Linked DNA regions of Caenorhabditis elegans. The protein of the gene in region 2 interacts with the protein of the main gene of each other region in a pairwise test. Each region holds a gene or a part of one and is shown on either strand. Other genes may lie near its edges. The genes, in order: gldi-4, lin-2, hif-1 and lin-10.

Region 1 (4,970 bases), on a different chromosome or scaffold from region 2:
ATATTTTCCCAGCTTATCAATCTGATTAATAGATGGAAAATTTCAGAAAGACACGAAAAGAAGTACAAAGTTTATTTTGAAAAAAAAGGACAAATATTTTCAAGTCAACAAGGTGTGTCTGGAACAATTCGTTTTAAAACAAAAGTTCAACCGAGGATCTATTGCAAAAACAATCCTTTTAGATACATTGCACTGGATATTTTTTGAAACGACTATTAAAATCAAATCTAAAAAGTATCTAGATGTCAAACAAAACTCCCAGAAAAACGGATGTGCGCCTTTTATACAGTAACTTCAAAAATTCATTGCAGCAGAATTTTCATCGATTTTTGTCGTGTCGAGACCCGGTACCGTACTTTTGGGACGAAACTCGCGAAATTAATCTTCTGGATAATAGTAGAAACGTATGTCGTTTTAGAAGGTTTGTTTGACATTTACATTTTTTTAAGATCTGATTTTTTAATTTTGAATCTAAAAATGAATTCATAAAGTTTACAGACTTTACAATTAAAGATTCTTTTTTTTTTTTAATTTTTTATCCTCCCCTGTCTCACTATTCTTATGTATATTGGCAAGCTAAATTCTGATTTTCAATTTATTTTATTAATGCGAAATGAAAAGATTCACAAAATTGGAAAATTACAATTTTAGACTTCAGAAAAAATAAAAAAATAAAGATAAGACAGTACAATGGAAAAATTTAGATATTTGAATTTTTGCAATTCTGCAAAACAGTCTGAGTTTTCTGATTTGATAAGAAAGTTGTTATGAACAATTTGAACAATTTTTTAAATATTTGGAGGATTCATGAGAATATTGAAATGCATATTATCGTTTGGAAAGTCCTTTTGAATTGGAATTACAGTGCTGGTTGAGAGTACAAGATGGAAGTTGAATCCTCTGTTTTTGTTATCTGAAATTGTTGATAAATATCTTTGAACCAAGGGATGATAACTCACATTCAACAATACGTTTAAGATTGTTTAGCCTCTTCCTCAACGACATCAAAATCGTCTTTCTCTTGGTCATCAGAGCTCTCAGACGAACACTCATATTCTTCAATGTCTTTGAGAATTTCAGCAAGATCACTCAAAGAATCTTCATCCGAAAAAATAGATCCGGGATAGTTGCTCTCAGCAGTTTCAACTTCAAATTCGACTTTTCTTGTAGTATCATCTTCGCTTTTCTTTCCATCTTTGACTTTATTAAAAATCGGTTCAAAACGATCCGAAAAGAAAGCCCTATTCGTTTCGAAGTTTATAGTTTCTTGCTTCATCATCTCTTCAATTTGTTCCTTTTGTTTCATGAGCGTTTCCTTTTCAACTCTGAACTTTTCCTTTTCTCTGATGAATTCTTGACGTGAAGCCGAAAGATCGAATCGAAGTTGCTTTTCGTGTTTATCGAGGCTAGATTCTGCTTTCTTGTAAAAGCGATCGCGGAAAGAAACTTTTTGAACTTTTTTACCATCAGTTGTATCTTTCAGTTTTGGATGCATTCTTTCATAAGTTTGCGGTTTCCTGCTAGACATGTGCTGAGCATACCATGGGTCCTCAATAATGTTTCGATCACTTTGTGCATTCAAATATCTCGAGACATTGTTCTTTGTTGCGATGGCTTGAGGGGTTATGCCCAATCTCCTCAAAGGAACCTGGATAGCTCTGTCACGAGAAGAAGCAATTGCTTGAACTTGACCGTTTTGATCTTTTACCTCCTCTGGGTTTTTGACAATCAAATGTTCGGGGAACAAAGTATTTTCTGACACCAATCGAATCAATGCATGCTGAGCATGAACTCCGGCAGCTTCACATGTTTCGCACAAATCGTAGTTGTAGCATATAGCACACTTGAATCGATGCCCAATAATCAAATCTTGGCACTTATCACATGAAGCCTCGTGAACTTCCTTGTTTTTGAAGGAGTTTTTGTCTTCTTTTTTGCGACACTGATTCTCAAGCTTCATTTCGGAAATATCCTTTTGAAGAGATTTGATTTCCAGTTGTTGCTTGTCTAGAAGCTCTTGAAGTGAGAGTTGTCCTTCAGCAATCTAATATAGTTTTCTTTTAGAAACAAGGGAAACGAATCAGAAAAATAATACCTCAGTATCCTTCATAACTCTCCATGCCTTGTCAGATTTCATCGTTGCCTTACATTCATTCACAGTCCGACCCAAATCATCCAACTTGGCAATTACCGAGACATCCAAGATTCTGACATGAAGAAATAGCTGAGGAAGTTGAGAATGATAAAAGCTCAATTCCGGGCGAATGTTGTTGTAGATCTCATAGCCACTGGACAGAACTACAGGGCCATCCTTGGTAACTGAAAATCATATCTGGTATAAGATGACTGACATTTTATATAGTGCCAGCTGAAACTCTATTCGTATTTCTTTTTTTGTAGTTTCTATTTAAAGTGAGCACAACTCAAATACTAGCTCATTTAGATTTGAAAATTTTCAACTAACAAAATTTTGCTCTTAACGATTTCTAAAATTATGTTATCAAACAAATTATCATAAATTCTTTGGAAAAAGTTACAGCAACCTGCGGTTGGGTTCAGATTAAATTTGATAAAACGATATATTTTCCCTATAACCTCTATTGTTCTACTTTGTTTTTTGTCAACTGTGTGTGCAACAACAATAGTTTTGAAACATCAAAAACTCAATTTTTAGACAGGTCAAATCACATCCAAATGCTTCAAAAATCTTGTCAGCCGATGTAACTTCTTTTCATAGAAAAACGGAAGCGTAGATAAAATTCAATTTTTCATAATTATAATTTTTCAGTTGATCAAATTTTGTTGGACATATTGATTATTGTGTTATACTATTTTGAACAACTCGAATAGTATCTGGAAAACCTAAAATAACCAATGAAATTCGCGCAGGCACTGTGCATCTAAATTTCATTTAAAAAAAAACTTACTGCAGCTAAACTCAAAATCAGCAGCCGAATGGATGGTGGAAGATCCCAACTCGACGAACGTTTTTCTGAGTTGATCGAGGACTTGACATTGACATGAGAGTTCCAATACAGCATTCTTGTTGATATCCTCATTGTATACACGCCAATGATAGTTAACCTTGACACGGCATGTTTTGTTATGTTCACGGCACAAAGGTATCATTGGGATGACAATTGGAAGTTATCAAGTTATACCAAGTTTCTGGAATTATTTATCGAAGTTCTAGAAATAGTTCAATATGAGAGAAAAATTAAGGAAACATTAATACATATTTTGAAACAGTGTGCAATTTCTATTTCGCATAATTTCTTTGCCTGTTTTTTAGAGAGAGGTTGCGAGTAAGATATTTATAAACCTAACAGAAAATGGCATTATAAACATTGAAGATATATATGCATAGAGGTTCTTCTGCCAAGAACGTTTGGGAAAAGAGCAAGGAGAAGTAGGAGACTCAGAGACAAAAGTGTTCCCCGCGCGGAAATGAGTGGTACCTCGAAATAGAAATCGATAAGCGTGTGCCCACTTGTCCGGGGGTACAAGGGTCAATTGGATTATGAGGTATTAAGTTTGGGCTATTATTATTAGAAATGAACCATAACTGGAGAATCTGTGGACTTTTTTTCTCCCGTAAAAAATTCCCCCATTTTTGCTGAAACGATTTTATTCAAAGTGACTCATCTTGCAAAATGACGAATCACAATTTACAATAATTTTTCGGCGACAGTTCAAAGGCACACGCTGTTTTTTGAGAGGGTCTCGCCGCGATCTCTGTTAAAATTATCGTTATAGGGGCAAATATTTACAGATTTGTTAATTTTTGGTAGAAAATGAAGTTTATAAACAACAATTTAACTTCTGTGCACAGAGAAAATCAGGATTTACCAAAAGCACCTAGTTTGGAAGGATTGACGTGAAATTCCAATCGGCCGCCTGCGCCTGCCTGCGTTTAATTTCGAAATGAACAAAGACTAAATATAAAGTGTAAAAACAGATTGCAACCTTCATTTGCCTTTTCTCCTCTCCGTCTCTTTCTCTCTCTGTTTTCGTTTCCTCTCTCCGTCTCCCAATTTTTCATTCTATTTCGGTTTTACATATGTGTATTCAAAAACGAGATAGAATTTTGGAAAAATATAAAGTAAATTTGGAGAGCGCCTAGAAACAGAGAAAACACAGAAAATCACGCGGAAAAGCTGTCGTACGCGGAAGATGTGCATGCATAATGATATCACTGAATTGGACATTTTTCGGTGTAAAATACAATTTATTTTTACAACACATACAATAAAAGGTAAAATGACCAAACAATATTGCATTTAAGAGAGAGAGTGAAAAAGGCTTGGATTTACCCAAAAATAGGGAAGAAGTACGGGATTGAAATTGAAAAAAAAGTGAGAGGACATACTTAAACACTGGATAAGAGAATAATTGTTCGTTTTTGAAAATTGCCAAGTAGAATAAAATTAAATCAAACTTTTCGCTTAGAAAAATTGGCAATTGTCAAGAACAAACAACCCTGAAGATTCGAAAATACAATGCAAACTATAATAAACAAATCATCAGGGGTGGTGGACGTTTTGGAGGCGCATCAGACCAGAGGCGCTCACGATGGAGTTTAGCCAAAGGTCGTCACAAAGCTGCCTCTACTAGCGACCACCGACGGTCCAATTTTGAAGAGAGTAGGTGATGAAATAAAATGACATTGAGATTTTAGGTTTATTTGTTTTTTTTTTTGAATTCATATTTTAAAAAAGAGATCCTAAATAAAATCAATGTTCATTTCATTCCAAAACCCAAATTCTCCCCCAAATTGGACCCTTCTTAACCTCAGCAACCAGAAGCTTGTAATTCCTCATCTCCTTCCTTCTTTTCAAGAGTCAACGTGGTGAAGTTCTCCGCGACAGTTGGATGAATTCCAATGAGACGATCAAAATCTGCTTTCTTTGCAGCCAATTTCAACGCGATTCCGAATCCTTGTGTCACTTCACCAGCATTTGGAGTGAGAA
Region 2 (5,089 bases):
TTTAACCGATTCTCTTGCGCAACCAGAAAAATTATTCGAAAAAACCTCACATCTACATCTGTTTGCATGATCCTTTCATAGATATCGGAAGTAGACCCGGAGAAAGGTAATCGTCCAGCTAGCAAGAGAAAAAGGACGACACCGGAAGACCAGATATCCGACGAGCATGACACTCGATCTTTTCGCACTATCTCTGGAGCCATGAATTGCGGTACACCTACTCGACCTTCAAATTCGAAATTATATGAATGCACATTTGAAAAACGAGTCATACCACAAGCCATTGAACCACCAATTTCAGACAAATCTTTTGCAACTCCAAATCCACACAGTTTCAGTGGAGCTGAAGTATCTTTTCTGAAAGTTCACATTGAACTGTTGTTTTTCTATATTAATTAACTTACGACGCTAATACTAAATTGTGAGGCCGTACATCTCTATGAACAATTTTCCTAGTGTGACAGTAATCTAGAGCATCTAGGAGCTGCCGTGTATAGTGACTGAAAAATTTATGCTAATTATTTTTACACACACACGGCGTGTAAATTGGTACCTCTGGCCTAGAAAAAAGCTTGAAAAACAAATGTACGCAATTATGAAAATGCGCGTGGTGTTTGCGGACTTGACTACCGTAGTCCACATAAATTTTAGCAATTAATACTTCCCGGTTTCGTTTTATATGAAAATATCCTTGAATTCAAGCAAAAAATGCATTATCTTTTTGGAAAAGAATAAAAGAAACACTAAAATTACATTAAATTCAAATACAAAAAAAAGTGAACTACGCAGAAAACGAAACAAGGCAGTTTGAAGAACTGCATTAATGAACAGCAATTTTAAGTGTAAACTTGTGATGGTGGGTATACATTTTATGTACTTAAATTGTTCAAAAACCTTCATTTAGTCAATTGGTGAAGTTTCAAAACCTTTGTGAATCTAGTTTTTGAAAAAATTTCAAATTGGTGCCAATTTCACTGATTTTTTGTGAATTTCCGAGCTAAAATTGAAAAATTCAATGTGAACTTGTGACGGTGGGTATGGTTTTTATGCACATAATTTGTTTGAAATGCTCTACCGAGTAAACTGGTGAAGTTTCAAAAACTTTGTGGGCATAGTTTTTGAAAAAAGTTCAAAAATGTGCCATTTTTGTCGAATTTTAGTGGTTTTCGGAGCTAAAATAGAAAAATTCAATAGGAACTTGTGACGGTGGGTATGAATTTTTTGCACACAATTTGATTAAAGTAGTCTACTGAGTAATCTGGTGAAATTTCAGAAAATTTGTGGATCTAGTTTTTGAAAAAAGTTCAAAAATGTGCCATTTTTGTCGAATTTTAGTGGTTTTCGGAGCTAAAATAGAAAAATTCAATAGGAACTTGTGACGGTGGGTATGAATTTTTTGCACACAATTTGATTAAAGTAGTCTACTGAGTAATCTGGTGAAATTTCAGAAAATTTGTGGATCTAGTTTTTGAAAAAAGTTCAAAAATGTGCCATTTTTGTCGAATTTTCCTAATAATTGCCTAATAAATCGAATTTCCACTTTTATTTAGGAAAATAATCGTTGTTATATGTGATTTATCCATTTTAAAAACAATTTTGTATATATTTTTGCAGTTTTATCCATTATAATGTCTCATTCATCGAATTTCAATGATATTAAAAATTTAAATTCAAATTTCGCGCGCTTTGCAGCGGCCATGGCCTAGGATTCTCACTTTTCACTTTTCGCTAGGCCAGATGTCCCAATTTACACGCCGTGACACACAGTCTATATTGTAAAAATACAAACCTTACTACATATTCAGAAAATACGAATCCATTACTTGCTCTTTGAACTATTTCAAAACAAATATCATTTCCCTCCATGTTCTCAAAAATGATATGTCGATAATGAACGCTGTTGATAGTTTTTTCCAGTCGGCATATGTAAGGGTGCTGTAGATTTTGGCATATTCTAATTTCCTCGTCGATTTCTGAAAAAGAGATGGTTTGGAATGAAATAATTATATTTAGATCGGATTCGGTAAAATGATCAAAGTTCGAAATGACACATGATGGCTGATAGATTGATTGATGAATTGGGATTGGAGCTGCTGAGCTCATGAGATGAGAACTTTGAGGACATTTTGTGCGCTTCTGATTGGAAAACTGGTGGCGAGAATAATAATATCCGCTGCGGGGACTTTTTTTTTCTCAATTTTTAAAAGTGCACTCAGGTTGTTTTTTGAGAAATTTTTTATTCTTCAAAATCCACAATAAAGGTCAAAACATAACTTTAAAAAAAAAGTGTATTAACCACCTGAATTTGTTCAATTCGAAAAAAAACATCAAAAACTAATAATTCAGTCTTTTGTGAGACAGTGTGTTGAAACGATGACTTCCTGTTTTTAAAATGTTGAAACTTTTCTTTAACGGTCTCAATGGTATTTGGATGAAAACCAATGAAATTGGATATTTTTATTCTAATTAACTTTTTTTTAACTGCATTTGAGCCTCCTTTCGAAAGATATTAGTTCATCACTAGATCGATTAACATTACAAAAACCTATCAATTTTTGTAAAGACAAAAAACCAAAATTAAAAAAAGACTTTATCAAAATGGGAGAAAACTATTTTTGATACTTGTATAGTAGAGCAACTACAGCTACTACAAAAGTACACTGCTTCAACTTTTGAATTGAACAAATCATTTTAGTAGGTGCGTAGAATTTTTTTGGAATACGACTACTACATGTAGTCGTACCCCATGTAACAACTGTATAACAATAATTGTACCTTCAAATCCTAACCCGGTGTGCTGTCTGAACAAATTCAAATTGATTGATCTCAGTAAAAATTTTCGATTTGATGGTCCATGAAGTATTCGGTATACATTTGAAAATGGACCTCTGGAAATTCTTAGTTATTTCAAGAATTAACTGAATTTTCAAAAATCTTACTGTTCTATCACATCCCGGATCGACAGTTGTTCATCGAGGAGAAGGTTCGACTCGTCCGGGTCAAGCTCCCTCATTCTGTTTTAGCTGAAAAATGCTGATAAACGTGAATAAACAAATGATAAAGTTGAAGAAAAAAAAGAGATAACCAGAAAAAAACTCATAGGGACAGTGAATGATTATTAAATTGAAAAAGCATATCAGGCTCGCATGAATATTGAAATAGAGAGACTGGAGAGAAAATGGCAGTTTTTTGGGTCGGCGGCGGGGGGGGGGGGGGGGGCTCTACGCGTTTTCTTTCGGCCAATTTGATTTGATCGTTAGGAGGAGATATAATGTCAATAAATGATTGCAAGAGAGATTCATGTTTTATCAACCCCGCAACATTCTTTCGAGAACTAAAAAATTGAGGATTTGAGGTGGTACTTGTCTGATGGAAAATCTCATGTTGCGGTCTTATAAAAAGAGGTAAGCATTACGTCATTAATTTTAATGAACTTGAGTGCGTGGGGGACGGAAATCGTTAAACTTAGGATTTTTTCTTGTTTATAACATAATATTTTCTGCAAAATGCAAAATCAAACCATCCAATCTTAAATTATTGAAGCAGAACAACTATGTGAAAGAAAGTTTGATTGCGGCATGGCAGAGGAAATCAAGACAAATATGGACACTTTTCATCTTTTCCACCTCTAGTTTCCTATTGAAACGCGGCTGTATTTGTCATTTAGCAAACATTCCTGAATTTGCCGGAATAGTATCGTGTTTATTCAAAGTTGGCGGGTTAGCCAGATGTATTTGTAACAAAAACAGTAAACAGATTTGAAATCTTTTCAAAACACTAAACTTTAAGTTTGAGAGATGCTGAAAAAAAATTATTTGATATGAAAATCGTAATGTAATGTAATAGAAGCAATTACGTGCATGGGTTTTACTACGATCAATTACATAGAGAAACCTACATTTTGATTTTCCTACGTTCTCAAATGACTTGGGATCTAATTCTAATGCTCAAAACAATAACTCCTTTAAGGCTAACAAAGCCATTTTTTAAAGTTTTTTTTTTCAAACAATTTCGGTTTGCATCTTTTTCTGCATACTCTTTTTATTTCCGTTTCATACGTCTACTTAAAACTTTTTGAAAAATTCATTTCCATTTGGTGCAATAACTTCAACCAAAAAGTGTAACTATTCAAAAAATAATCGAGATTTATTTCAAGGAAATAACATTGAGCACAATAATTTCATAAAACTACCATTTTGTGCAGAGCTATACCAAAAACATGCTGAAAATATGTTTACTGTTAAGGTTACTACTAGTCTCAAATTTTTGACATATATATATATACTTTTATAATTTTTTTTTAGTTTGTCAGTTTATTTTAATCTGTATACACTAAACTCTTACACAATTTAAGTATTTCGCATTTTGTCACTACATATATTCCAGTTCACATTGAAGTTATTTGGAAGTTATTGCTTCTGAAATGCCCAATATATGTATACTCTGATTATACCATGGTTATTTTTTGTTTTTAATGGAACTTTTAAATTACTTATAAACTTTTATGTAATGGTTTTTACGTTTTTGTTTCAAAAACAATTTTAAATTGAAAAAAAAACTGAGTAGACAAAATTGAAACACCAACTATACATCCCAGTCTTAAACAACTATCAAAAACCGCGAAATATTAGCTTTGTGAAAAATTGGGATGCAAAAATGTTCAATTATTAGTCTCTCCATCGAATATTCAACAAATAAGGTGTTAGCAAAATAATGGGAAATAAGAAGAAAAAACAAATTTAATTAAAGAAGAAGACATAAATAACTACATAAAAAGGAAGGGATGAAGGAAAGATATTACATTTTTCTTTTTTTTTTCTTGGATTTGTAAGATATGACAAAATCTCAAAGCAGAAAGAAAAAACGAATAAATATGAAAAAAAAGAAAATATGAAGTTTTTTTTGACACCGGAAAAAAACTGGATGAAAGAGGCTCGACAAAGAGTAGAAAGTGGATGTTATCTCTCCCAGTCTCCAGAGATACACAGTTTTATGAGTGTCGGTTGGGTGAGTTTGCAAGATAAACACGATGAACACCTGTTTCTATGATGCACGGACGATGCAAAACAATTCATTGGATGATACAGCT
Region 3 (7,445 bases), on a different chromosome or scaffold from region 2:
ATTGCATGACCATTTTTTAGTTTTTCTTGTGCAAAACCGAAAAATCGAAAAACCGAATAATTGGAAAACAGAAAAAAGTAAGAAAATTTTTCATTTTTCGCTTTTTCCACAAAAAAAACCGGAGGTCTGATGCGTATATGTATTCATTATCTATTAATATGAATGCAATACTATTTTTCAAAGCGAATGCATTACAACTAGGTTGTGCAATACTAATTTTCATACGCCTTTTTTGTTTAGGATTCCATGTTTTCATTTACAAGAACAACTGTTTCTGAAAGACATTTTGCAAAATTGTGGTTAATTGGAACAAAAATGCAATAATCCTAGCCTTGTTGTAATTTTGCAAAAAAACATTTCAAAATAAACAGTCTAAATTTTAGAAGGTGTTCGAGGTGCAGTACTACTAAGAAGTGAAAGTCTAATAGGAAGATCGTACGTTTGAAGTAATTTGTAAATCAAGACGAATAGATTTAGACGCGTTTTCACTTTACAAGCTCATACCTCAAAATTTCAGATATTTTCCACAAAAATGAATGCTAAACTCTGTAATAGTGCTTTTTGTAAAGTTTTAAAAAGATGATCAAACCAAAAAGGTTTTATCGAGAAGAAAACGAAGACGGACAGAATTTTGAAAATGAATGAGACGAGAGCATTGTGAAAAAATGAAAAGAAAACTTAACATAAGAAGATTCGTTGTATAAATGATGCAATTAACTATCACTATGGAGATGGGAAAAACGGACAAACGGACACACAGATAGACACGTTTTGTACTACGATTCTTCTTTTTTTTACTAAATAAAGAAATCAGAGGGAAAGGGAAAAAGGAATGGGGGAAAATTTATCGGGGAGGATTCTTGAAACTCATTATTCTTAAAAAGAGCAATAGAATTAAGTAATAAGAAGTGTGACTTGAATGAATGAAGAGTATATTTTTGAAAACAAAACAATGAACAGTTTGAGAGGGGGTAGAAAATAATCAAGAGAGCATTGGAAATGGGGAATAAGAACTAGGCTGTTGTTCATTTTGCTGTTGCTGTCCTTGCCAATATGTCTCGTCTTGTTGGAATGGTTGATAATGTTGAGTGTACATAAAATCTAAATCTGAGGGACCTGATTGGTGCATTCGCTTCGCTGGTGGGCTTCTCTGCAAAAATTAACATAATGTTAGGAGCCAAAAACAAAACAGGCTTACGTCAATGTGCACAGGCCGAGCAGCTGGGGCTTGAGGTACCGCAGGTGTAAAGTCAGGCAAGTCGTAAAGAGCTTGAAGCTCTGGTGGTAACCCCTCGTCCATTTGCATCATATCATAAGTGTCAACGAATGGTGCCAAGCACGATAAATCAGGCTCTTCCCATTGAAGATCGTCTGAAAGTTAAACATTTTGTTGAAAGTTATCTGATTTCTTTCACGAATGAGATTGATTTGAACATTTAAAAAAAACTAACCACAAAGTATTGGTTCGCCAGAGGTTAATGTTGGCGACGAATCGATCCTTTCGGCAATGGCGATAGAATCGGCAAAAGGCATAGTGGAGAACACATCATTGCTTCCGATGACTGGGTTGATGCCTCTAGTGGACGACACATTGAGAGTATCTGATGGTGAAAGGGCGGAAAAGCGTCGTGACGAATCGGACGGATCGCAGCTACGTCCCATAGATCGAGCGTCTCCGTACACGACTTGTCCAGATTTGATACTGCAACTGATACAAGGATATTATAAACATGTACATGCTCAACGTGCTAATTGTGAAAAATGTATAAAAAACTAACCTCGGGGGACTGTTAAGTCCACATTGTGAGATGCCCTCTGCAAGTGGCGAGTAGTTGGCACTGTGTGGCAATGTGGCCGATGCTGACGTGGAAGACGATCCAGTTGTTCGACTTCCCTGACTTTGTGCTCTTCGTCCGTATGATGTCTTCGGTCGGGAGGTACGAGATGACGAATCCATGAAGTCCGGCGAGGCCAGAGCGGAACCGAAATTCGACGGTTCGGTTGTCCTGAAGCGGTCCGCTGACCGGTAGCGTGCCGGCGGCGGAGAGCTTGGCTGGTCGCGAAAAAGCCATTGCAAAACGTCATCGTAGCTGTTCTTACGTGCTCCTGAAATACACACGTTAAGAAATCACTTGCTAAATGTATGGAACTTTGAGTAGGCGTAGGGTAAAAAATAATACGACATGCATGGACAAGTTTGACAAGTTTGAAAATAAGAAAAAGAGAAACTCACGGAGGTATGAGGACAACGGAGGGGAAAACTGCGATCTGTTGTTTTTTTAACTTAGTAATCATAATCCCATTTCCCAAAGTACCTCCTCTCCGCCGTCCTCATCCTCTCCGTCAACTTCCATTTTCTCATTATAAATCGGAGCCAGATCCACATCGAATTCCGGTGCTAAACCGGAATCTTCTATGGATTCTGTATCAGAATCCATATCGCAGTCTTCTATATCATTGCCGGCAGAAATTTGCCCATAAACACGTTGCTCATACTCATCCGTCACCGAATAAATTCCTATATACGTACCTCGTAAATTATTCAATTTGGATAAAAAAAACTTAGGTGAATCAAACTGTATAATTACAAACTTTTAATACGTTCTTAAACATGTACTTACCCATATCAGCCTGCTTAACAGGTTCTTCTCCACCAACGACTGGCTCAATAACCGTATCAAATGGATCTTCTGGCTCGATCAATGGAGTAAAATCGACGCATTCCACAATTTCAGGTTGTCTTCCAATATAGTCTCTTGTATCATCCACTTCCTTCTTGATATCTACTTGCATTCCAGCTGGCATTGAATCAGTGCAAACTACCAATGACTCTTCAGCTCCTTGGATTCCGAGAACGTAATGAACACAAATGACATATTGTCCTTTTTGTCCTTTCGTCGTATGTGTGATTGTAGTAGCTTCTGTTTGAATCCAGGCAAGTGTGTCATTTGCAGCAATCAACCGGTAATACGGGGTACGGATGTGTCCTTTGGCAAAAAGTTCCTTCATGGATTTTGATACTATCATCATATCGGCTGGATGTACCAATTCGTAGAAACTGGTGCCCATGAGAGTCTTCAGCTCACTTTTCAAGATGTAATTGAACTTATCCGAAACGAAAGTGATGCGCATGTCGCAAGTGTGACGAGTTGTGAATGCACCCATTGGGCTTTCCGTGTACTGTAAATTAATCCATCTATATTTTTATTAAACTTATAGCATCTATAAATCTGATTTGAAAAAGTTTTCGAATATACACGCCCTTTAGGACTCACTTTTCTATCTAGGTATTCAGAGTCCCTGCTCATTTTACTTTTGCAAACGGAGCAGCAATACAAGATGTAACATCTTCTCCGTTTTCTCTTCTGCTTCAAAAAAGGAGAAGATGACGCCAAGTTGCATGTGCTTGTGCTTCTCTACTTCTCTCCAATTTTCTAATCCTGTTTTCTATGCGCGAGGTGCCAACGGCTGAGTGTGCTTTGCTCAAAGCACTATTCTCTATTTTAAAGATCAAAAGAACAAACTTTTCGAGCGAGCAGAAGAATAAGAAGAAAATGAAATTGTGTAACGTCTACTCAACATTTTGTCTCACAATTCCATCAGTTTATCAAGAAGCGGAAAGGAGGAGCAGAAATTCCCAAGATCAAAAGTTCAAACTTTAGAATCTTACTATGAAACATTCAAAGCAGATATTCACCTTTGTCATTGCAGATGCATTTGCATTAGTTGTACCCTGTCCAGCAGGAATTGTGATACCTTGCATGAATGACACGTGTCCACCAGTTGAAACTTTTGAATGAACCAGGAAAGACACTGATTTGTACAAAGCACTCTTCAAATTCAGACATCTTCCACGTGGGCTGATGACTGTCTTCATTCGAAGCACCATGTTGATGCCGGTGGTGTCTGTGTCCTCGCCACGTGGCTTGTGCAGCATTTTTGATTGCTTGTCAAACTCGTCATAGTCGGATGGATGAAGAAAGTCTCGAAGGGCTCGACCTGTTAAATCTGTCTGAAAATATATCGATGTTAAAGAAGCAAGTTTTCTATTGCTCACCTGTGTTAATCCTAAATACATTGCAACACTTTCAGTGACGTAAAGAATTGAAGAATCACTGTCAACAATCATAACAAAGCCGTCCAAGCATTCGGCGATGGTGTCTTCAGTCCATACCTCATTTGTGATTTCATTGTCCAAATTGTTTTCCAATACTGAAAGAAAAATATTAATTTGAGAAAAATTGGCAGTGATTTTTGGTCGATTTTCTCAGCATAAAACACGATTTTCAAGTGATTTTTGATGTTGAATCAACTATTTCTTTATTCGATGTCACTTACCATTACCGGCTGTCTTGCGCAGTCGACAAATTGTGGCGGCAACACGAAGAAGTGCAATACGGTCTAGATGAGTTACGGTACCTTCTTCAACAATAGGCACACACATTTTCAGATCATCAAATATATCCGATTCTTTAGACCGACGATCACGAGCCGCGTGTCTCGATGTTTCACGACGGCGTTCCATGTTTCTAAAAAGTTTGATTTTGAATTTCTTGTCACCCCAAAATTGGTGAATTTCAAAAAATTATATACCTATATAAGTACACTTCTCATGAGGTTTTTCGATTTAATTTAGTTTTAAGTATAACTGGGAAAATTTATTTTTTCAAAGGTGGAGTAGGAGGAGCCAGTGGAGAAAGTGTTGAAAACTAATCCAATGGTACTAAAATGACCGAATATCAAATTAAAAATTGTCAAAAATTTTTTGAAATTGTTTATTTACCGTCCGTTAGATGATAATCACTCAATTTTTGCCACTCATAATTTTGGAAGCATAGTAGGGATCGGAACATGCGGCATTCCTCAAATACTTATGTTTGTAAAAATTTTGGCCATTTGCCAAAACTTTGACCGGAAATTATGAAAAATCTAAAAAATTTTTAAGTGTTTTATTATGATTTTTGGTTGTTTCGAGCCATTGTAAGTGTATTTTTTAGGCAAAACTGCCACTGGCGCTACTCCACCTTCAATCACAATTATTTCACAATTTATTTTCATAATTTACTTTATCTAACATCTCCGATTAAAAATGAGTTGTGTCTAAAAAGAGCGAGATATATTTTATATAGATGATTCACATTTGATATTCGATTCGGAAATGCGCATTTTCAATACATCTACCTCTGCCAATGCTCCCTCTCTCTCATTTGCGAGCAGAGCATGGAGCAAACCCAAAGGACTACGGTACTTCTAGCGTTTTCAGGCATCCAATCATGGAATGTTTAAGAATGAATTTCGATTCTAACAGAATTCTAACTCTACCTTTTCCGATTGTCTTCCATCTTGATAGTGAATAGGTGCAGCTTCAGTGAAGCTGAGGTTGGTGTGATTGGGGCAACTTCCCCGTAATGACGGGCAACTTTCAGGTGGGCTGAAAATGTATGACAATTTTAAATTGAATAGAATCGGGTAGAGGGAATTAGAAAAATTGTATCAAATGTTCTTAAAATTATCATTGAGAACATAAGGGGTTGTTAGATTTTCGAATGTTAACACTTTTGAATAAAAAATCAAGTTTAGTTATGATTTATAGCACTAGGGTAGAGTGTAGTGAGACAAATTGAAACATCATAAATACCAAGGGTGCACAAAACGATCGATTGGATATGTTAGTGACAGTTGTTTGGACGGGGTCCCAGAGGACGTCAAGATTTGTAACAATTTCATGGACAATTGACTATTTGTTAGGCAAGTATCATAAGAATGTTGCAGAAAACAAATCATAGAGATCAAATGCTCAATTTAAAACCCAAATCTAAAAACAAGAACTTAGGTAGACTGGAAATTTCGCTGAATTCAATTCAAGAAAAATTGTCAATTTCTTTATATTGAGTGAATACAAACTGATTACAAGAATCATGTGATAAGCCAGTGAAGGAGAAAAGGGCACACAAAAAGATTAAAAGCAAAATTTTCCCGATTCAAAAATATAAATCTGGATATTGATGTTACGTCAATGGTATGAATGGGGCAAGATTGAGGGGGTGACTAACATCAAACTATGAATGAACTACGATCAATCTTTGAAAAAATTGTAGTTGAAGTAAGTCAAAGAACAGGGGAATCACTAGAATGTAGTGTTTTCACCGAGCGTAAACAATAATGTTTTTGAAGATAACTATACTCAAGTTCAGAAAGGGTAGTTTGTGTAGTGATTTTAGTTTATCCTTATTATCAAGTGAATTTCAAATAAAATAGTTAAGATCGGGATTCAATCAATCTTTGGACTTAAAGGCGGTGTAGTCGAATTTTTAATTACTCTATTACACTCAAAATTGTCTGAAAACACCGAATTTTCTAATTAAATTTTTGAAAAGGACACAAAAAAACTATGGCGGCCCAAAATATGACAAAAAAATAAGTTTTCAGCCGCTGAGAGTTGCTCAAATTTTAAAATTTAACTGATTTTAGGTCCTTTTTGAGCCACCATAATTTTTTTGAGAAGTTTTCAAAAAGTTTCATTAAGAAATTTGGTGTTTTCAGACAGTTTTGAGTCTAATAAAGCTAGTCCTTACATCTCATATCACACTTTTTAGCTTAATCGAGAAATTGAAAATATCGATACATCAAGAGAGTGCACAATTAATATAAATCCTCAAAATATAATAAAGAATTGTCGAAAGTTATTGGAACATTAAATAAAATCAATAGTCATATGAAACGAGGGAAACAGATAGTCATCATCAACAAGCGGGAGGCGACGACAAAATGTAAGAAGAAAGATGTTGATAAGACAAGAAATTGAACGACAGTGGGCAAAACGACTTCTCAGAGACTGTCGATTGACAGAATGTTAGACAAAAAATTGGGGGAAAGCTAGAGTACAGAGAAGTAGAGTGACTGATAATTGATTAAATTTAGCGAAAATTGAGTTTAGTCCATATCTTTATAATGGAAAGGATCAACTTTTTCCGATATGTGGTTCAGGAGCTATGTTTTGACATTGGAGTTAAATAAAAATTTAAAATACAGATCAATGAAATCAAACCTATTAGCGTTACCTTTGAACTATAAGAATTAATAGATTTTCTGAAAATCTGAAATCTCTCATTAGAGAAAAACTGAGCAGCTAGTGGGCGGTGCCTACAAACCAAAGATGGGCATCCAAACATTTCTTCGTTGATCAAAAAATGAATTAGAGAAGTAGAGTTTTCTCTGAAAATTGAGAGAGGTGAAGAAAAACCAAAAAAAAGACCTCTCATCTAACACACTCTCTTGACCCAGTAAGTACATAAACCACGGAGACACGAGACAAGCAGGCAGACATATTGAATAGTGTGCGATTTGGAGAGAGTCCAAAGAGATGAGAGAGTGAGAGAACTAAAGAGAGGACAACGTCAGTAGTGCTGTCGCGACAGAATTCCGACGCGCGCGTACATCGCGAT
Region 4 (5,027 bases), on a different chromosome or scaffold from region 2:
TTGTTGGCCTCGATATCTAAAGTTCACAGTTCTAATGGTCTAATGCTTATTGTTTAAAAGTGGTGTAGCGCCAGTGGAAATTTTGCCAAAACATGTAGAAAGGTCTAAAAGAAAAAAGGTCTATCGAAATAAAACAACAGCCAAAAATGTTCAGGTTTTTTCAAAAATTTGTGTCAAAGTTTTGGCATATTCCAAATATTCGAAAACAGTTGTTATTTTTGGGAAAGTTGGAGGTTTCTTGCACATTCTATGCGCATACTATGTGACTCCATAAATTGAGTTTTTCACATTTGGCTTTAGGAACTTTGATCATAGATTTCAGTGAAAAACTTTTTTTTTTCAAGAATTAATTCTCAAAATTCCGAAACCGAACGACATACCGTTTTAATATTTTTATTCTGTGATCGTCGTGTTATCTCTTTTTCCATTTCACTCATTTGTTTTCGAATGAGTGAATCCGTTCGATCACCGGATAATTTCCGCTTTTCTTCACTTTTCTCCTCTCCTCCCGCTGATTCTTGCGAATTTTCAGGAGAATCTGATTTTTCGATGACGTCACCAATTGTCACATCGGATGACGTGGAAGTTGGTACAAGAAGCTCATCTGAAACATATTTAGGTTTGAAAATTGACAATTAGAAAAATGTTCAGGGGAAATCCCTTCAACTTTTCGTGTGGTCTCTAAGTTCCGTCCAGACATGATGGTGGGAGACGTACAACTCCTTTCGGACATGGAACAATTAGTAAATCGGCTGAGCAAAAAGAGAGAGTGTGAGATGATAAGAGACGCAGAGATATCTCTCTTGTCTCTTCTTCTCACCAAAATGTTCTCGTGTTACATGCTCACTTGTGACAAATGAGATACATGCTGGATCTTTTTTGAAGATTTTCTGAAGAACTTTTGGAAAATGCAATTTATTCGAAATTTTTAAAGTTGGAGTTTTACATTCCACTAGACGAAGAAGGAAACTTAATACGTTCTGTGAAAACTGTACGCCAAACGTTTGAGATAATGACTGATCTTCTGGCATTTGGCCTGAATTTCTAAAAGTGAAAAACCAACTAACCATTATTTTGAACAACGCCGCTTGTTTCCGTAGAATCTTCTGCTGGTCTCACCTAAAAATTAAAGACTGAGTTTGATTTCTAAACTAGAAGTATATTTTAATGAACATTTTTTAAAATTTTATCTTTTAAATTCCCGAACCACATTTATTTATTTTAGAGCTACAGGAAGAACATGAAGAAGCTCCCCAAGTCATCACTTCGCCTAATTTCCAGCGTTTTGCTTGTGAGTTCAAGTGTTTGGGCTCTGCCGTAAACGAACCTCTCGATGATTTGGTGACACATTAGAGGACACAACACTGCCAGCTGTCTGCCTTCCGTTATCGTCTTCTGAGCGATGAGATGATGATGCCTGAGAATACTTGAAGGTTATGAAGTGCAGATGAGAATTTTGGGAGCCATAAATGCATTGCTTTTGGTAATATATTTCTAGATCTATTTCAATGTCTAGAAATATCAAATACTGTTCTGCATCAATGCAGAAGCATAACTTTGTAATAAGAATTTGTGAACTTCTTGTGAGCTTGACTAGGTTACATCAAAATTAGAATTTCTAGCCGGCAGAGAGTGACGGAGGCGCCTCTCACACGCCTCGAGCGGGTGTCAGCCATGCATCATCAAACATCCAATAAGCATGTAATGTCTTAGGTTATTATATTGTGGCAAATTCGCCAAATCAGAAAATTATATGGTTTTTCCAGTTCACATGTTTTTATTGTGAATAAAACAATTTCGAGAGCTCTAAAAATAGTTCTTTCTGCAAAAATAAATTTCGCAACTTTTCTAGTTGTACAACAATGTTCCAAAATTGCGAAACATACATTTTCTGATGACTAATGTCATTTCCTTCATTTTTTTAAAGCTTATCAACCCCAGTTTTAAAAACTGCTTCTAATGAAAAATTGACAGTGTTTCAATTGTTTTTGTAAAATAACGCTTTATAAAACAAACCTGAGAAGAAGGTCTTGGCTGTTGAAGAGCCGGCTGAAATTGCATGGGAAACGGAATCGGAAACTGTGCTCCACTCGCGGCCATCATTTGTTGAAAATAATGATGCATGACTTCCTGATATTGAGCTGGAGAGAATACCATCTGAGGTTGAGCTTCACCCTCCTGAGCAGGAGCACCCGCTGTTGGAATATACGGATTCAAGAAGGGATTTGCGAAAAAATGACCAGGAGGGATCATTTCTGTAAAAAATCGAATATATTGAAGAACAAGCTTTTCCTATTTTAATTGTGTTAAGTAAGCAAATATAAATAACCAATGTCATACATTTTCATTCTGTGCACAGAAGTTTCCTAGTGCAATATATTTAAAATATTTTCTTATACTTCCGTGTAAAATAGATTTTTGTAGGGAAGGCAACATGAAAGACGTCCAGCCATATGAATAATAGCCTATTTTTGTGGTCAGGCGGCGGCGGGGAAAAATAAGAAGAAGAGGAGAAGACAGGGAATTTTTAATCGAGAAGGTTCGAAAAACAATAATATCCCCTCTATTTTTTCTTATTCTTCGAGTGAAAATATTTGAGGAAAGGTTGACCAAAACGAAGGAGCAATTCCTTACGAAAAGTTAATATAGTCTTACTAGGGCTGGCAAATCAGACTGAACCTATCTGGATTTCAGAGCCTTTTTTCTGTGTTATTGTGTTTTTTTCATATTTTTTTTAACTGATTTGATTTTGTCTTGCTTTTTCAAATATCTAAACATCAGATTTTTGAAGATCCGGGAATATTTAAACACACCATCTAAATTTGAAAAATGACACTCAAAAAACTTGAAGTCTGGTATATTTGTTTACACTTTAATTCAAAATCTCTTGTAAAACTAACGAAATGGGACTTGTTGTTGCTCTCCTCCCCCACCACCACCGGCTCCACCCCCTTTGCTCGGCGGAGGAGTAGGCGTGGCCGATGATGTGGGGACCCCGTGTTCAGGAGACGTCGTGGCGGCTGTGGCTTGTGCTACTGCTTCAGATGACATCCTGCAACAGAATTGTTCATGGTCCGATGGAAAATAGATAGGAAGATGAGGGAAAGAGAGAGGAAGCGGGAAAAGGACATGGATTATTGGATGCTCTTCTCTCGTCTCACACGCGAATTAATTAGAGCGATGAAGAAGAGGGACAAGAGAGAAGCAGACAGAGAGAGAGTTAACGTGGGAAAATTTAGAATTAACAATTGTCACCTCGAAGTTATAAGTTAAATTTTTTCCTAAAATGAGAAAATGGGAGATGCTCAAAAAGTTTTAAGATCGTGTTCGGAAGTACTGTAACACAACATGGAGTTCGAATCTACACAGACTTACAATTATGTAGTAAAAAATCTACATATCTACATATCTACATATCTAAAAATCTACATATTTTCACTCGGGAATCGCTCGCCCACTATGGGGGAGTCTACGCAAGGACAACGCAAGGACAAGGACAACATTCTAATGGAATGGAAACAATTGCCCGACTGCACCAATTCTAGTACAAGCGAACAATGATAACTTTTGTATTCTGTATTCCTTCACGTCTCCCAGCGAGCGTAATAAATTATTATTATTATTATATCTAAATAAAATACTTTCAAATGAAAATGTTGGTAAATTGCCAATTAAAAAAATTGGAGTTTTTCATTAATTTAGAGCAATGCTGCAAATGCGAAGACCTAGGTTCTAGGTTCACTTGTAAATAATTGAAGCGAACTTAAAATTAAACAATGTATTGGACCAATTATGATAGGTGGAAACTGATTAATTGCTATTAATGTAAATATAACATTTTCAAAAAATGTTGGAAAGTGTTAGAATGATATTTTCATCATGGGTGCACTATAGGTGTAGTTTTTAACATTTTTCCCACTGGAGCATAAGAAAAAAGAACAACAAGCGGAGACTGATCGTGAAACAAAATATACATTGAGGAAACCAAAAAATGCAGTGTAAGGAGTTCCCGAAGCAATATGTCGTGCCATGTATGCACGTCTTCTGAATGCCAATTCATTTGTCATGTTTCTTCGACACTCTAATCCCTACTTTCTCAGCCAAATATATGACACGTGTCGTTTTCTTTTTTTGCTGTTTCTTTTATGCCGTGCTTGCTAATCTCCAAAATATCGAGTGCTTTTTGGACTTTTGAGGGCGTTTGAAAAATATGTTTAACCAAACAATTGTATTAATGTAAGCCGCTAACTAAATGACTTTCAATTGACAATTTTCCAATTGTCGCTTTAGATGTTGAAAACGAATTTTTTCCAGATGTTGAAAATAAAGATAACTTCTTGTATTTTAGGACAAGTTCTAAAAATGTGAAAATATAACTGCATTGTGATAGAATTCCGCAAAGTATTTCTAATTTTTGACCTAAGCCATGGGAATCGTGAATGATCAACTAAATTCTTGGAAATAAATGAAAACATTAGAACAGTAAAAAGTTGAAGCTTTAAAACCTATTCGAGACGTTTCTCATTCGAGCAGCGCGGGGTTGAGAAAAATAGGGAAGAGGCGAGAGAAAAAGTGTCATAATTATGCTAATTCTGCTCTTTTCCATCGTTTTCCTTCACTCTCTCTTTCCATCCAACTCTTTTCCAGGGCACAGACAAAAAAGTATCAAAAACGGAAAGAATACACCAGATGACGGGATGAATGGGAATTTGTGATGGACGAATGGACAATACAAAACTGGTAGATGAACGAGAGAGTATATAAAGATGGAAAAAAGTGTGAATAATTTCACGTTTACTGTTATTGCGGAATAGATGGCAAAAAAGTAAACTTTTCAATTTTGAGATTAGAGTTCAAGCCGAAAATTCCGTTCAAAGTTAGTTCAAAGTTAAAAAATGTTGAGAAGTTTGGCACTACTCTACGTTTAACTTTCAAATATTTTGAATTAATAACTGTATTCGTTTCTCAATTACTCATCAAAATTTAAAACTATTTCAATCGCCTCAACAATATCCCATACTAATCCT

Evidence for each region.
Region 1: the proteins of lin-2 (region 2) and gldi-4 interact in a two-hybrid assay, tested with the Caenorhabditis elegans proteins (3 studies listed by BioGRID).
Region 3: the proteins of lin-2 (region 2) and hif-1 interact in a two-hybrid assay, tested with the Caenorhabditis elegans proteins (3 studies listed by BioGRID).
Region 4: the proteins of lin-2 (region 2) and lin-10 interact in binary tests that used the Caenorhabditis elegans proteins (3 or more experiments, as listed by UniProt).

The regions. Positions count from the first base shown.
Region 1 is NC_003282.8:7,015,824-7,020,793, reverse strand, and holds gldi-4 (ZZ-type domain-containing protein), read right to left. Parts: upstream 3,169-4,970; 5' UTR 3,130-3,168; coding exon 2,928-3,129; intron 2,320-2,927; coding exon 2,096-2,319; intron 2,045-2,095; coding exon 974-2,044; 3' UTR 960-973; intron 914-959; 3' UTR 584-913; downstream 1-583.
Region 2 is NC_003284.9:12,411,013-12,416,101, forward strand, and holds the start of lin-2 (Protein lin-2), read right to left. Parts: upstream 3,030-5,089; 5' UTR 3,014-3,029; coding exon 2,940-3,013; intron 2,889-2,939; coding exon 2,776-2,888; intron 1,974-2,775; coding exon 1,790-1,973; intron 501-1,789; coding exon 405-500; intron 358-404; coding exon 275-357; intron 227-274; coding exon 51-226; intron 1-50. UniProt on the Caenorhabditis elegans protein: May play a structural role in the induction of the vulva. May be required for the localization of signal transduction molecules (such as let-23 receptor) to either the basal membrane domain or the cell junctions.
Region 3 is NC_003283.11:20,778,399-20,785,843, reverse strand, and holds hif-1 (Hypoxia-inducible factor 1), read right to left. Parts: upstream 5,438-7,445; 5' UTR 5,343-5,437; coding exon 5,323-5,342; intron 4,530-5,322; coding exon 4,339-4,529; intron 4,213-4,338; coding exon 4,058-4,212; intron 4,013-4,057; coding exon 3,698-4,012; intron 3,373-3,697; exon of another isoform or gene 3,309-3,372; coding exon of another isoform or gene 3,276-3,308; intron 3,181-3,275; coding exon 2,622-3,180; intron 2,519-2,621; coding exon of another isoform or gene 2,316-2,518; intron 2,107-2,315; coding exon 1,779-2,106; intron 1,709-1,778; coding exon 1,452-1,708; intron 1,372-1,451; coding exon 1,199-1,371; intron 1,151-1,198; coding exon 983-1,150; 3' UTR 584-982; downstream 1-583.
Region 4 is NC_003279.8:8,116,263-8,121,289, forward strand, and holds the start of lin-10 (Protein lin-10), read right to left. Parts: upstream 3,053-5,027; 5' UTR 3,052-3,052; coding exon 2,901-3,051; intron 2,256-2,900; coding exon 2,017-2,255; intron 1,418-2,016; coding exon 1,328-1,417; intron 1,120-1,327; coding exon 1,068-1,119; intron 605-1,067; coding exon 381-604; intron 1-380. UniProt on the Caenorhabditis elegans protein: Required specifically for the determination of 3 vulval precursor cell fates P5.p, P6.p and P7.p during late second and early third larval stages; required for basolateral localization of receptor tyrosine kinase let-23.